Linked DNA regions of Caenorhabditis elegans. The protein of the gene in region 1 purifies or fractionates together with the protein of each later gene. This does not show direct contact. Each region holds a gene or a part of one and is shown on either strand. Other genes may lie near its edges. The genes, in order: gsp-1 and sds-22.

Region 1 (8,580 bases):
ATATTTCTCTAAATCTCGTCAATTGTTCTGACCTTATTGCTATACTATCGCTTCGTTCCGACACTTTCCCATCGTTTATTGGGAAATTTCACATCGAATACAGACGAGACAGTCAGTTCATAACGAATTCACTGTTATTTCCCATTTTAAACTCCCGAGATGTTTGTTTATGCCTTTATAATAACGATTCATTCGAAAAGAGCCAAAAATGTTAAATTAAAAATTTCTTGGAATATGGTGATTGAATATTATATAGAATTTTTATTTAAAAAACTGATACTCCTCCCACTCACGAACTCTTTTGGACAGCTGATTCAATGTTCTTCAAAAACTTGCTGAGTTTTCACTTTTTGCTCACGAATATCTAAAAATTAAGCTAAGCTAGCTGAAAATCATCAACTGATAAAAAACATACAATTACCGTACTTGTCTTTGAAGGCTTCTGTTCTATCTCGTAGTTACTGAGTCGACTCAGCGCTATTTGAAAGCAGATAGCAAATAAATAACGAATGATTCTAGCCATAGACTTTTTCGATACATATTTTCAATGTGATCTTATTAATTGCGGCTACAGTATGTTGAATAACTAAATCACATTCTGTTTTCATTACATATTTCATTAGAAGCATGTACCTAAACTTTTTTATACGAAAAATCTTAATTGCATCTGTATGCTCATATATAGTAACATTTGATTGAATCAGTCTTTATTTTCCAGCACAAGGCGTTCCTTCGAGCCCAAAGAAACGGTTTTTCTTCCCGGTCTCTGCGCCTTGTCATCTTCGTTTTTCTTCCTATTTTTCGCCCTCTCAAAAACTTGCGGTTACTTGTTTAGTCAACAACTTTTTTTGCTTCTGCTTCTGCGCGATTCAATAAATTGAATTCGAGACCCTCATCTCAACGTGAGCATCTCGTTGCCCCGTCCGTCCCTGCTTTCCTCCTCTTTTTTCATTTCCTTTCGGTCTTATTTTGCCTTCTCTCGATCTTTTTCACATGTGCTTACGTTTTCTTTCACCTCAATCAAAGCTCGAACATGATACTAAATTTTCGTGAGAAAAGTTTTTGACTAATAATTGTTTTTAGCTGTTTATTTGAAAGCGTAATTCCGAAATTTTCACAAATCTCCAAAAAAGGAGCCTAGTACGGTGGTTTTTTGTGTGCAATTGTGCGTCAACTTGTGAACAGTGTTTGCGGACTTTCAAAATAATTTTTGTCCTATTGCATTTTTTGAATGTTTTTCATCGCTTTTTTCGTTTATGAAACTGTTTATGTTACGAAATCAAGTAGTTTTATTCTTTTTTAAATAATTTTCGTTTGATATAACTATTTTCCGTAATGTCATAGAGGCTTAAGGTGATTTGAATGACTTCTTGGGGTATTTATTCCAGAATTTATTTATTTCGATTGAATAGAAAAGAAGTTGGTTTAAAATATGAATAACATGTGTTATCATTTAGTTTATATTGTTAACATTATATTAGTCATCGAAAAGTTTTACACCGCGCAATGAAAAGAAAAATAATTACGAAATTTTATGGCTCGTAAATAGTTCTTTTTGTAACATTTTGTTGGCAGAAACATACAATTTGTCATAATTTTATGCTTAATAATAAAAAATTGTTTATTAAGTGTTGTTTGAAAAAAGTCTGGAATGTCGTATATCTTTACCGCACAGGAAGTGTTTGCCTTTCTCAATCTTTTCTTTCTCGTCGTCGTTTCCTCTTTTCGAAACGTTCTGCGTGCAAATCAAATACTTGTACATCTCGTTTTGCCCATTTGTTCTAGAGAAGAGAAAGAAAGAGCACCTCAAGCTTCTCTAGCCGTTTTTTATTGTTGTTTTTTCTCACAAGAATAAGCGTTACCCTTTTCAAAAGATAACAGACTATGCGCAAAGTGTGATAAGAAAACCTTCTCGGAAGTTGTCGCCGTTTTTGATTCCATGACGTCTTACACGATGTCAGTAGTGTCGAACCAATATCGCACGTGCCACCGGAGGTAGTGCAATAACATTGCGAATTGTTTCGGCGAAAGAATGGAAACGACGGTGGCGAGTTATCGATCAATACTGCGGGCAGTGGCCGGTGGATCGGCGCGCGTTCGTCTCTCGCTCCACTCGTACACTCACACATAGGGACAGGCACATACACATGCGTCTCAGTCCGTCGTCACTTTTCGCTCCTCTTTTTATACGCGGCATTTCATCCCGATCTCCTCATTTTCCTCCACTATTGATGAACCTACTTTGCTTGACTACAGCCACACATGTTTCTCTTTGAAAGCTTCTGTTTTCTCTCTATCATATCTTCACCATTTCCTTTTTCTAGTGCTGTAAAGTTATCCGCCTGCTGTGACGACGGTGTCGTGTTTATGACATGTTCCTCCTCGGGGTCGTTGATAACGGCAAAGAGAAGGAACGGGCGTCGTCTCGTTACCGTTTTCCGATAAAACTATATAGGTGTATAACTTGAAATTGGCCAGAAAAAAAAAGAGTATTAGAGTAGCTTCGATTTGCCTCAAGGTGCATAAAGCGGTGATTCACGTTTCGAATTTGAGAGACGCAGGTGTTTAAGTGAATATGGTCTCAGTTTGCTCCCCAATTCTTTTTGTTGTCTTTTGCTACCACAGGACGAAGGAATTTCTCTTAGTACACCAACAAACTTTTTTCTTCAAGGCATCAGTTGCTCGTTTTCTATTTTCAATGTTTAGAAACAGTATAGCACAAATTTCACATAATTCAGTTTTTTTGTTTGTTTTCACGACACGCGTTTGTTGCCTTTTCAAATTCAAAATTTGCATATCGATTGTTAAAAACCATGTGTTCTTTCTTTCTCAAACATTTTAATATTGTGTCCATCACGTCATCGAGTTTCCGATTGAAACAAATCACTTTAAGGTTTTTATTCTTCAAAAATATAATCCAATCAGGAAATTTGAAAACTATATTATATTCGCATTACAATTTCTTGATAAAATTCTCATTTTTGCATTTTTCCTCTTGGAATTGTAATGATACGCATCACATCCTACTGCTGTTGTTTTTTGATGCTTTTTAAGCTTAGTCTTATCAATTTTCTCACGTTTTCCTTGAAGTTTTTTTTAAATTCTCACGCCAACGTTACTAATTTTTTATCTTTCAGCCACAACCAATATCAGTTGTCGGCCAAAAACATTGCAAGAACATACATCACTTGCCATCCATCAAAAGTGACCAACAGAAGCCGCGGAGATTGCAGCTGCAAAAACAATGTCGAACGATGGAGATTTAAACATTGACAATCTGATCACCAGACTTCTTGAAGGTGGGTTTTAAAGTTAATAGAGAAATTGATCTAATATCGACATTCGAACTAAACCAGCTGTATAGTTGTTCAGAAATTTTATTGAATTTTATTTGTTTGAAATTCCGACTAGAAATTCCAAATATTCTGGTTTTGAGGAATTTTGTTTAATATAGCAATTATCATTATTTATTATGGTTGGCAACTATTTATTTCAATAATTTCTGTCATTTTTCCACTTTCCGATTTTTACGGTCGTAAAAAATTTAATTAATATTTAAAATTTTACTAATTCTCTTTAAAGCTTATTTTAAGTGACTAATTTGATTTTTCAATAAAATTATTTTTCAGTTCGCGGATGTCGTCCAGGAAAGCCAGTTACCATGTCGGAGGCGGAGATCCGTGCTCTTTGTCATAAATCTCGTGAGATCTTCCTATCACAGCCAATTCTTCTGGAACTCGAAGCACCTCTCAAGATTTGTGGTGAGTTTTTTTATTATTCAAAAACCGTTTTTGTGTCTGCAATGTAAGAGACGACTAGAGAATATGGTCAATAGTCTTCGATTATTTATAAATTCTGTCTAAAAATTCAAAGATAGTTCAATTATTTAGTAAAAACATCACTGAACGTATGTGATTATTGGAAAAAAAGTCCGAATGTCATTGAAAAGTTTCGCAGCATACAATTTAGAATGTTAATTTCTCTAAAAGTTCAATATGAATGAGAAATATTTAATTTTAGGAGACATACATGGACAATATAACGACTTGCTCCGTTTATTCGAATACGGAGGATTCCCACCAGAGGCCAATTACTTGTTCCTCGGAGATTATGTCGATCGTGGAAAGCAGAGCTTGGAAACAATTTGCTTGTTGCTCGCATACAAAGTCAAATATCCAGAAAACTTTTTCCTTCTTCGTGGAAACCACGAATGTGCTTCAATTAACCGTATTTATGGATTCTACGATGAATGTAAGGTTTTTTTTTGCTTTAAAGAAAATTCGAAATATTAATTGAGATATTACGTGTCCATGATTTGATGAAAACTGCGGAGACGCCTGCGTCTCTCTTCTCCACACGCTCTCTCGCCATAGGCGTTTTGCATAGGCGTTAGATAGCATGCGAGAAAAAGAGACGCAGGTGCTTTTTGCGCTTAAGATATGGCGATTTTTCTCACCCGCACATGGATACGTAATAACAAATTATTCCAAAACAAAATATTCGCTTTTTTTTAAATTTTCATACGCCCGTTCACATCAAGTAGAAACTTTCTCCGGATGACAAAAAGATTCTTAATAACCATGCATCGGTTGTGTATATTTTAATTTATATTTCAACGAAAAATTCCATTAAATTCTGGGTTATTAAAATTTGTCCAGTTCAATCAGCAAATTTCGATAGTTAAAAAAGGAAAATTATGTCAATTATTTTTTCAAAATAACAGAATAATTACAATTTTCAATCAATGTAAAAATTTGGAGAACAATAGCTACTGAATTCTTTGAAAAAATCAGTATATTTTGAAGATTTTCTTATTTCTCTTTTTTTCAGATTCTTATACTCAAATTTTCATCAAATATCAAAAAAAAACGACCAGGTCCTCAAATTTTAATTTAATAATTTTTAGAAGTAAAAATTGCTGGAATTGTTATTGAAAAGTCTTTAAACCAAATAATTTTCAGGTAAGAGACGTTTTTCGATCAAATTGTGGAAAACTTTCACCGATTGCTTCAACTGTCTTCCAATTGCTGCACTCATTGATGAGAAGATCTTCTGCTGTCACGGAGGACTCTCCCCAGATCTCCAAAATATGGAACAAATTCGCCGTGTGATGCGACCAACCGATGTTCCTGATACTGGATTGTTGTGCGATTTGCTCTGGTCTGATCCAGACAAGGATGTTACCGGATGGGGAGAAAATGATAGAGGAGTCTCGTTCACATTTGGACCTGATGTCGTTGCAAAGTTTTTGAACAGACATGATTTGGATCTGATATGCAGAGCTCATCAGGTCGTCGAAGATGGATATGAGTTCTTTGCTAAGCGACAACTTGTCACACTATTCTCTGCTCCAAATTATTGTGGAGAATTCGATAACGCTGGTGGAATGATGAGCGTTGATGAGACATTAATGTGCAGTTTCCAGGTAAGAATATTTCTGTTATGTATTCGAAGGCCGAACAAGGAGAGAAGACGAGTAGTTTATTACATTACTAAACTAAGGAATAAATAAGTTAGTTCATAGAGTTCACGTTATACGATCTTCTTAGCCACGTCGTGGGTCAATACACGTTCCAACAATTTCATTCTTTTTCCAAATATTCCAGATCCCCGAAATGGAATAAATTCAAACAAGATGGAAAATCAGAAACCAATTTTCTAAATGTGTTTACAATTGATTTTTAAATTAGGGGTCGGGCATCCTTGGTCAAGAGGAACCGATTTCGAAAAATTGAAACCTCGTGAGATTGAAAATCGAATTTATGTAAAAGTTCCTGCTCTTCAAATTTAATTTTGGCTGGGAACTCATTGAACATTCGCATCACATCAAGAAATAATCTAGCATGAGATGAACCTTTTTAGAGAAAAACGGCACCGGCATATTTACAAATTCGTATTAAAATGATCGAGAAAATTAGAATGCTAGTGGCTGTGTATTTCACGTGAAAAAAACTATCAAATTCTTTAATTTTGAATATATTTCACAAAATCTCGTGAAATTTGTATCAAAAATCAATAATTTTTCGTAAATCTTAGAAATCTCAGGAACCGAAAATGAGCTGTATTAGTATTTCACCTTCCATCTTCTTTCTTTTCCATATCAAAATATGAGAGAAAAAGTACCATCAAACGGTACTTCTTTATTAAAATCCTACATTTCGGAAAAAATTTAAAATGTTTAAATATATAATGTTGATAATTGTTCAGTTAGTGACAATTTGTTCTTTTCCCGAAAAAACAATCTAACTCAAGTAGTTGCATCCCATGTTACGTCAAAACTCTTTTTCTTCCAATATCCTCTTGAACCTATCGGGAAATAATGACCAAACTGAACCATCAGTGATTATTAGATAATTTTATACTCAAAAAGCTTATAGAATTAATTTTGATCGGATAAGACTGAAATTGTTTTTTTTCAAATAAATTAGAAAAATTTGATTCATTATTTATTTTACAGATTCTGAAACCATCGGAGAAAAAAGCGAAATATCAGTATCAAGGAATGAACAGTGGACGACCAGCAGTGGGCGGAGGACGGCCTGGAACGACTGCTGGTAAGAAGTAAAGTGATGAGGAGAAAGAACATTTTTGCCTACATTTTTACTCATTTCTCTCGGATTTTTACTTTTCTGTCCGTTTTTTTTGAATTTCCCTTCTCTTTTATCTCAAACATTTTATTATTTTCTCGCCCTCAATACACCCCACCCCGCACAAAAACGAGTTTTAAATGCTCTTCATTATTATTTTCTTTTCTGATTTTCTATTTTTGTGCAACTGTACTCGATCGAATATAATTTAATTTTTCTGGCGAGTACAGATTGCAAATCTTTCTCTCTCTCCTTCTGTGTTCTCCATTTTTAGCTAAATTTTCTCATATATTTTTTTTCTGATTGCCTCTCTTTTTCCATTTGCTCTTATCCTGTTTTATTCTTAGTTGTGAGCCTAACACACCGGGATCAAAATCCTTCCGATTTAAAGTTGCAGCTTATTTATTCTTACAATGTTAATCACACAAACATTCTGAAAGTACGAGAGCGAATTCGTTCTTATTTTTTAGAATATTGAATTCTGATCCGCCCCAACAACACGCACACTGATAATTTTCTATGGTTTTTATTCGAAAATAGTGAATTTTTCTCGACAGCTCCCCCCGTTCCTTTTTCTCGCCCCCATTTCCTTCTTTCTTTCCTCCAACTGATTCCAATGAATATTTTTTCCAAAAGGTTTCTCTTGCGCAAGAACCAGTCACTCAAATTTTGTGTGTGTGTGTTTGGTCAAAGTATTTATAAAACACATACTGTCTTCAGGCAAAAAAATAATGGAAAAAGTATGAATCACATTGTTTGGAATGAGTACAAGAATAGAAATAAAATGTTCGTTGGATGGAAAAAGAATAAAGAGAAGGAATCCTGCCAAGGGAAACCAATTACTTCTGAAACATTAAATCAAGATCAGGGAAATTTAATATTTCAGAAATAACTGCAACACATAATCCTTTAAACTGGGCAATTATTTTTTAAAAATTCTATTTGGTAGTTTTCAGAATGGATTTCGTCGCCAAAATAATGTTATTTATAAACCATTCGACTCAATAATACGATACCTGGACCCGGCACGACTGTAATATTTTTTAATGATTTCTGTGAAAAGCAGTGTGCGTCTTTCAAGAGTACAGTAGTTTACACTTCTGACTGCTGCACAATGTTTTCAATTTTTCGCTTTATTTTCTTTTGAAAGTTCCTTATTTTCAGAAATTTAAAGTATGCATGTGAAAAAAACTATTTTACAGAAAAATGTGAAGGAATCTTAAGATGTGAAAAATCGAAGAAAATTGCATTCTACAGCAGAACGGAATGGACGCCACTGTAATCATTAAAGGCGCAGTCTTTTTTCTCGCAGCTTTTATTAAAACATTTTTTCGTGACGAGACCGGGTACCGTATCCCAGCGTCATTACAATTTTCACATCTGGGAATATTGTGTTGTTCTTTATTAAGGAAAAGTTAACAAAAAACACTTTTGTTGTGATTTTGCGAATTAAATGAGGTCCCGTGTGCGCCTTTAATGAATACTGTAATATCAAACTCTTGTTGCTTCGGAATTTTCATAGATTGTTCATAGTGTTTCACACGATTTTTTAACATTCATATGCTTTGTTTTTCGTTTTCTTGATTAAATTTTTCTTCAAACAATGAATGATTAATGAAAATTCCGAAGCAATAGCTTGAAATTACAGTAATTATTAAAGGCACACGCCTTTTCGCATTTAACGAACGTTTGTCGTGTCGAGACCGGGGACCTTATTTTTTAGATCGCAAAATCTTGCCGTGTAATAAAATCCTCGCATTCCAATTTCAAAATGCTCAAAGTTCTTAATATGTGTGTGGTTTGAACTCATAGTTTGCTCTACAGTGCCGTAATACGAGACGGAGCACACAGGTTAAGACGTGTTTGAGCAGCATTTCACAGTTTGTCGCAAAAACTTCGAACAGTTTTTTGCCCGTTTCGCAGACAACTTTGAGAGTTTACGAGAGTATTTCACAAGTAAATACATTATTTCCTTCAATTGTTGCCACTCGGT
Region 2 (5,652 bases), on another chromosome or scaffold:
GTCCAAATCTATTTCGAACGGTCGTTGTGTAGCTAATCTCTAAAAAATAATAAAATATTACTTTTAAAACTTTTAAAAACCGTGTAATTTACCTCTTCAACGCATCGCTTGTAAACATCATGTAATCTCTCGCATGGATTTACAGCATACTGATGCCTGTAATTGGGAGTGATGAACTTTTGGAAGAATTCTGTGAAGCATTTGTCGTAGATCTAAAATCGGATTTTATTGGAAATCGAGAAGAAATTAGAAAACTAACCTGCTTGAGATGATCGCATTCGGGAAAAATACTAGACATGTGTCGATCACTCATATTTTTTGCATAGCTAAAATGGTATATTATAAGGTAGAATTAAAGACATTTTCAGATATCAAACGACTCGGAGATAAACCGATAAAACATTAAAAAGAAAATTGAACTTTCAAAAAGATATATTCATTAGATGAATCAACATTTTGAAAAGAGATTCTTCAACAGAAAAGTTATGGAATGTTAGAAGAAAAAAGATGAATTCGATGAAACAGAGTTGATAGTAACGAAATAAATAAAGGAGTCGTTTAAATCGTATGGAAGGAGAATGAATGATAGAAACAGGGAGAGAGATAGATATGCTTTGAACTGTAGTATGAAATGAGACAAAAAATAAAAAATCGAAAGCTTAACGAAATTAACAAAACTCGAAATTCAAAATTCACAACGATCGAGGAGATACTTGGCGAGAGCCCAACCATCAAGTTCGAATGCCTCTGAAAATGAAAGATTCGAAACTTTGAGAATAACCTATTTTACCTCTTCCTTCGACGACTTTTCGTTCACCAGTGGCGGAGTTGGTCATCAGTATCAGCTTCGTTTTAGTGTTGTCGACATCAGTGTGACGAGCAATACCATCAACAGTCCAGGTTGTTTCTGAAATGTAATAAAGAACAATTTACGAGGATTTTAAAAAATAATTTACCATCTTTCACAATGACTGGGGGAGCAAGAGTTCTTTGACGGCCATTTGATGTTTCCGCATTTATAGACTTTCTCTGAAAATACATCATATATATACATATTATTTTTATGCACTCGAACCCACCTTAGACGTTGGGATAACTGAAGATGCGCTGGCAACTGGACTTTCGCTTGGGTCTTTCTTTATAACGACCTCTCTTGGCTTTGGTGGTGTAGATGGTCGCTTGACAGGTTCTTCTGCTTTTTCCTCAACTGCCTTCACTACTTTTACTTTGCTCGCTATTTTCTCAACATCACTGAGTGGCGCCGTAGTTTCTGCCTCGTCATCGGAAGATTCTTCATCAAGCCAATTTCTTCGGGTATCACGAACTTCCATTGCAGCTTTCTTCGCATTGTTTGGAGCTACTGGACCAGAAACCGTTGCTTCGTATGACTTGAGTGCAGCTTTCGTTGGGACTTTTGGAACTTTTGATGATACAGGAGTTTCGTTTTTAGCAGATCTGCAAAAATCGATTTAAAAAAATGGAATTCTCTCCATTAGCATCATTCCCGACAATTACGTGTGGATGTATTTACATTTTTGAAAAAAAAAACAACACCACTATTCAAACTATTGTCGTTTAATAAAGAATTTAGCTCACTTTTTACTTTTCTTCGATGTCTTCGGAGTACCGTAGCTACCGTCGCTGTCATGGTTAGACTCATGGTCACTAACCGTCTTCGATCGCTTTTTTGATTTTTGCGATTTGTTCTTTTTTATTTGCTTTTGAAGAAGTTCAATAAGCTCTGTTTTGTCAGTGACTTTCAATTTTTTGTAGTACTCTGCAACAACTTCGCTGGCACACTCTTGCAGATCTTCTTCGGGTTCCCAGGTATCCTCGTCGGCGCCATAACCCAACCAACGAACCTAAAATGTGGACAATTAAGTTAAGAAATAATTTCGTGACTTACTTGAAGCACTAGCAGATTATCTGTAACTTTATGAGCAAGAATCTTCTCAACTTCAAAAATCTCGTCAGACTTTCCCTCTCTTGCTTCGGGCTCTCGAGACTCTTCACGTGAACCTTCTGTAAAATCTATTCTAGGTTTTAATAAATAAATAAAAACATACCATTACTCATCTTCACAACTTTTAGAGATTATTAGTCGACAGTTAAAATCGATTGAAGATTAGAAAATAAGACGGAATTTTCAAAAGAAAACTCAGCGACAGCAGCAACGACGCTCCGAAGTTCTGCTGCGCGCCCTCTTTAGCGGAGTTGAGAAAAGAGACTCAGTTTCCCCGGATTGCGGAACTTGAATGGAAATAATTTGTTCTTGATAAATAATGAAAATGTGAAAGTTTTGCAGTTTTTTTTTCGAAATATTCAATTATTGTCTATAAAATACTTTTTAACTTGTTTTATTTCATAAGCATGATCACTGGTCAGCTAACGAATCTCACAGATTTGTTTCTACGGTAAAAAAGTCCTAGAATGAGCAATCTCTTCAATGATGAAGCCAAAATAAGAAAACATATTTTTGTTTCTATAGACTACATTTTTTAATTAATCCATCAATTTATTCTATTAAACATACTGAAAGTCATATTGTAATCAATTTTAGCTACACATGCGCGTTCCTGAAGGAGCCCCTGTTCCGTTTTGGTTGTCAGTCAAGAATCGTCTTCCCAAATGGGCCAAAGTTAATCGGCCAACACTCGGATCCATGGCAGTTGTAGCTACTGCACTTGTTACATGTTGTGCTGTAGCTGCTGTAACGCTTTATCCAAAATATCATCATGATTATTATAAAAACGCACAAAAAGAGGAACGGGCCTTACTTCGATCATCTCGAGAACAACAAGCTGGTCCTCAAAATGTCTGGATCGATCCATTCGAACGAAAATAACTTTTTTTCATTTGTTTCTTTCTACGTGTATTTTTCATAGTTTTTCAAAAAACATTATATAGGTCTTGATATGCTTGTGATCTCTTTCTTAAATATTGCGTTAAATACGCCTGACAATATCTATAACTGACTGATAATCTTGTGCGAAACTTACAAATTCAGAGTAATATTACTACTAGTAATGTCCAACGACAAATCCGCTGAAGTTGTTGTTCTTCCTCGTGAAAATGACGAAGAATCCAAAGAGCCTGTTTTGAAAAATCAATTCGATTTGAGCACATTCGATATCGATTCTCCGGTTTGTTTTTTTTTCCGCTTGGGTTTATTGGTGAAAGTAAACATGTTTCAGGAAATCGATCTAACTCACACTCGCGCTGATCACATTCCAGATCTTACTGGATTTCCGAAAATAGAGGTAAGAATACTTCAGAAATACGTGTGTAAATACAATGATTATATTCAGGAACTGAGAATGCGCAATAATCTTCTGGTTTCAATTAGCCCCACAATTTCTTCGTTAGTTACTTTGACATCCCTGGATTTGTACGAAAATCAGTTGACCGAAATTTCGCATCTCGAATCACTCGTAAATTTGGTTTCTCTTGATCTGAGCTATAACAGGTGAAGAATTTAAGAAACTTTTATTTCAATAATAACTTTCAGAATACGCCAAATCAACGGCTTGGATAAATTGACAAAGCTCGAGACTCTTTACCTTGTCAGCAATAAAATTGAAAAAATCGAAAATTTAGAAGCTTTGACGCAGCTCAAACTGCTCGAACTGGGAGATAATCGGTAAATATGGAATGTTTCAACATCAAAATCACAAATTGTGTTCAGAATCAAGAAAATCGAGAACATTGGTCACCTTGTAAATTTGGATGAATTATTTATCGGCAAAAATAAAATTCGTCAGTTGGAGGGAGTGGAGACCTTGCAGAAGCTCAGTGTTCTCAGCTTGCCGGGAAATCGTATTGTGAAAATTGAAAATGTTGAGCAACTGAATAATCTGAAGGAACTTTACCTCAGTGATCAGGGTCTACAAGATATTCATGGCGTCGAACCTCTGGTAAAAAGCAATTCAAAATACACTGAGAAATGGGTCTTTTTTGCAGACTAATTTACTTCTTTTGGATGTTGCAAATAACGAAATCAAAACGTTCAGTGGCGTTGAAAGACTAGAAAGTCTTAATGATTTCTGGGTAACCGAGACATTTTACGTTTCTTCTATATCTTTTATTATTGCAGGCAAACGACAACAAAGTGGAAAGCTTCTCCGAAATTGAGCAACTTTCAAAGTTAAAGGGTCTTCAAACTGTATACTTGGAGAGAAACCCGTTCTATTTCAATGATACAAACCAATATCGCAGAAAAGTTATGATGACCCTCACCCAAGTAACTCAAATTGATGCTACTACGTGCAGAAAGCCAATTGAATAACTCTCGGACGCTTCCAATAAATATCCGTTTGCTTTTCTTATCCATGATAATCTTTCATAAATATGTATCAGTTTGCTTCATTGTTTGATATTGAGAACAAAGTGTAAGGTTATTAAGAGGAATCGCAAATGAATCATAATCGACCTCCATATGGGCGAAGCCAATCGAAATGGCCAGATATTATCAGCTAATGAAAATTTAAAAAAAAAACGACTAATCAAGAGTTTGAAAAAGGTTTCATACTTTGAGAATAATGCAGTAGTTTTTAGACGGTGCGGTGAGATTTTAAGAAGAAATTATTTATTCTTCTCGCTAAATAAATATGAACCAAAACCAACTTTCCATGCCTGAAAACTTAAAGTGTGTCAATTACAGAGCTTTTCTTTTGAGAACAATCAAGAAGTTTCCTCGAAAAGTATTAAACATATATGAAATGAAAGCTACTGTAAGATTTTTTGTTGTGAAAATAAAGATTTTATTGGAAGGCGCACTTAACTTTGTCCCCTAAAAAAGGAATGTTCTTTCTTTGTTTTCATTAAATAATTTCAAACTCAGCAATGTGTATACGGTTTTTTTAAAAGGCGCATGCACATAATCTTTCACATGGTTTTATAAATAAAGAATGAAACCATTTTCGCGCGCGCGCGCATTTTTGGTTTTATTTTTCATGTTAGATTCCTCTAATGTTCATTTCAATCAGTGTGTCATCCCACTTTTTAACAGCTTCATTTTTATTTATTATTCGTCCTTTTAATATTTTTTTGGTAGACTTGTGCATGTTGACCTGCAGGTCCATGGAAAAATTGTCATTTGAATTCCCGCTGTTTTTAGAAGTGTCGTGAGAAAAGTGTACGAGCATGGTGTAAGAGACGCAGACATTCTGCGTGCGTCTTTTAAATATTCTTCGTTTATGTATGCGTTCTCTCTCGTTCTTTCGCTCAACCACTCGCATTTTCTTTGAATAATTACTCCTTCTGCAGAATGAGCGTGAGCACATCAGTTGTGAAGTCAATGCTACAATTGACGAACTATTTTGGCTCCAATTTCACACCGAAGACGGAGACAATCAGCTCATTAGCCGAGCTTTGGGAGAGGCACGGGAGTATGATCGCCAGTATGATGTAAGTAATAGCTCATTCATAAACAATTTCATATTTTATTTTTCAGGTCATGCGACACTCGGGAGTTTGGCACAGCTGACAAATTCTATGAAGTTATCTTCCGCAAAATCGCCACAACGAGTCTCAGCTTCATGACCGATTCATTGGAACCGAAGCTTGCAGCGAGCGGAGATTCACTGGAGATTTGCAAATTCTACGCTCTGTTTCTCGAGTATATGAGAAAGGATCACTCGGGAATGCTCACTC

The links.
Region 2: the proteins of gsp-1 (region 1) and sds-22 purify together in Caenorhabditis elegans (affinity purification with western blotting, with the first as the bait; one study listed by BioGRID). This does not show direct contact.

What each region holds. Positions count from the first base shown.
Region 1 is NC_003283.11:10,679,285-10,687,864, forward strand, and holds gsp-1 (Serine/threonine-protein phosphatase PP1-alpha), read left to right. Parts: upstream 1-3,137; 5' UTR 3,138-3,244; coding exon 3,245-3,299; intron 3,300-3,629; coding exon 3,630-3,761; intron 3,762-4,020; coding exon 4,021-4,251; intron 4,252-4,961; coding exon 4,962-5,425; intron 5,426-6,457; coding exon 6,458-6,565; 3' UTR 6,566-7,221; downstream 7,222-8,580. UniProt on the Caenorhabditis elegans protein: Serine/threonine-protein phosphatase which antagonizes the function of air-2 in the regulation of chromosome cohesion. Dephosphorylates histone H3 at 'Ser-10'. Dephosphorylates translation initiation factor eIF2alpha.
Region 2 is NC_003280.10:7,855,394-7,861,045, forward strand, and holds sds-22 (Protein phosphatase 1 regulatory subunit SDS22 homolog), read left to right. Parts: upstream 1-3,007; 5' UTR 3,008-3,026; coding exon 3,027-3,143; intron 3,144-3,194; coding exon 3,195-3,260; intron 3,261-3,308; coding exon 3,309-3,466; intron 3,467-3,508; coding exon 3,509-3,640; intron 3,641-3,685; coding exon 3,686-3,914; intron 3,915-3,960; coding exon 3,961-4,047; intron 4,048-4,093; coding exon 4,094-4,285; 3' UTR 4,286-4,360; downstream 4,361-5,652. Other genes in the region: mdmh-35 (MitochonDrial interMembrane space protein Homolog), read right to left, coding at 1-39, 93-212, 260-313; Chromo domain-containing protein cec-3, read right to left, coding at 686-747, 791-907, 957-1,029, 1,080-1,455, 1,597-1,862, 1,907-2,022, 2,067-2,076; T09A5.15 (Small integral membrane protein 26), read left to right, coding at 2,567-2,845; Spindle apparatus protein lin-5, read left to right, coding at 5,267-5,406, 5,453-5,652. UniProt on the Caenorhabditis elegans protein: Regulatory subunit of protein phosphatase 1.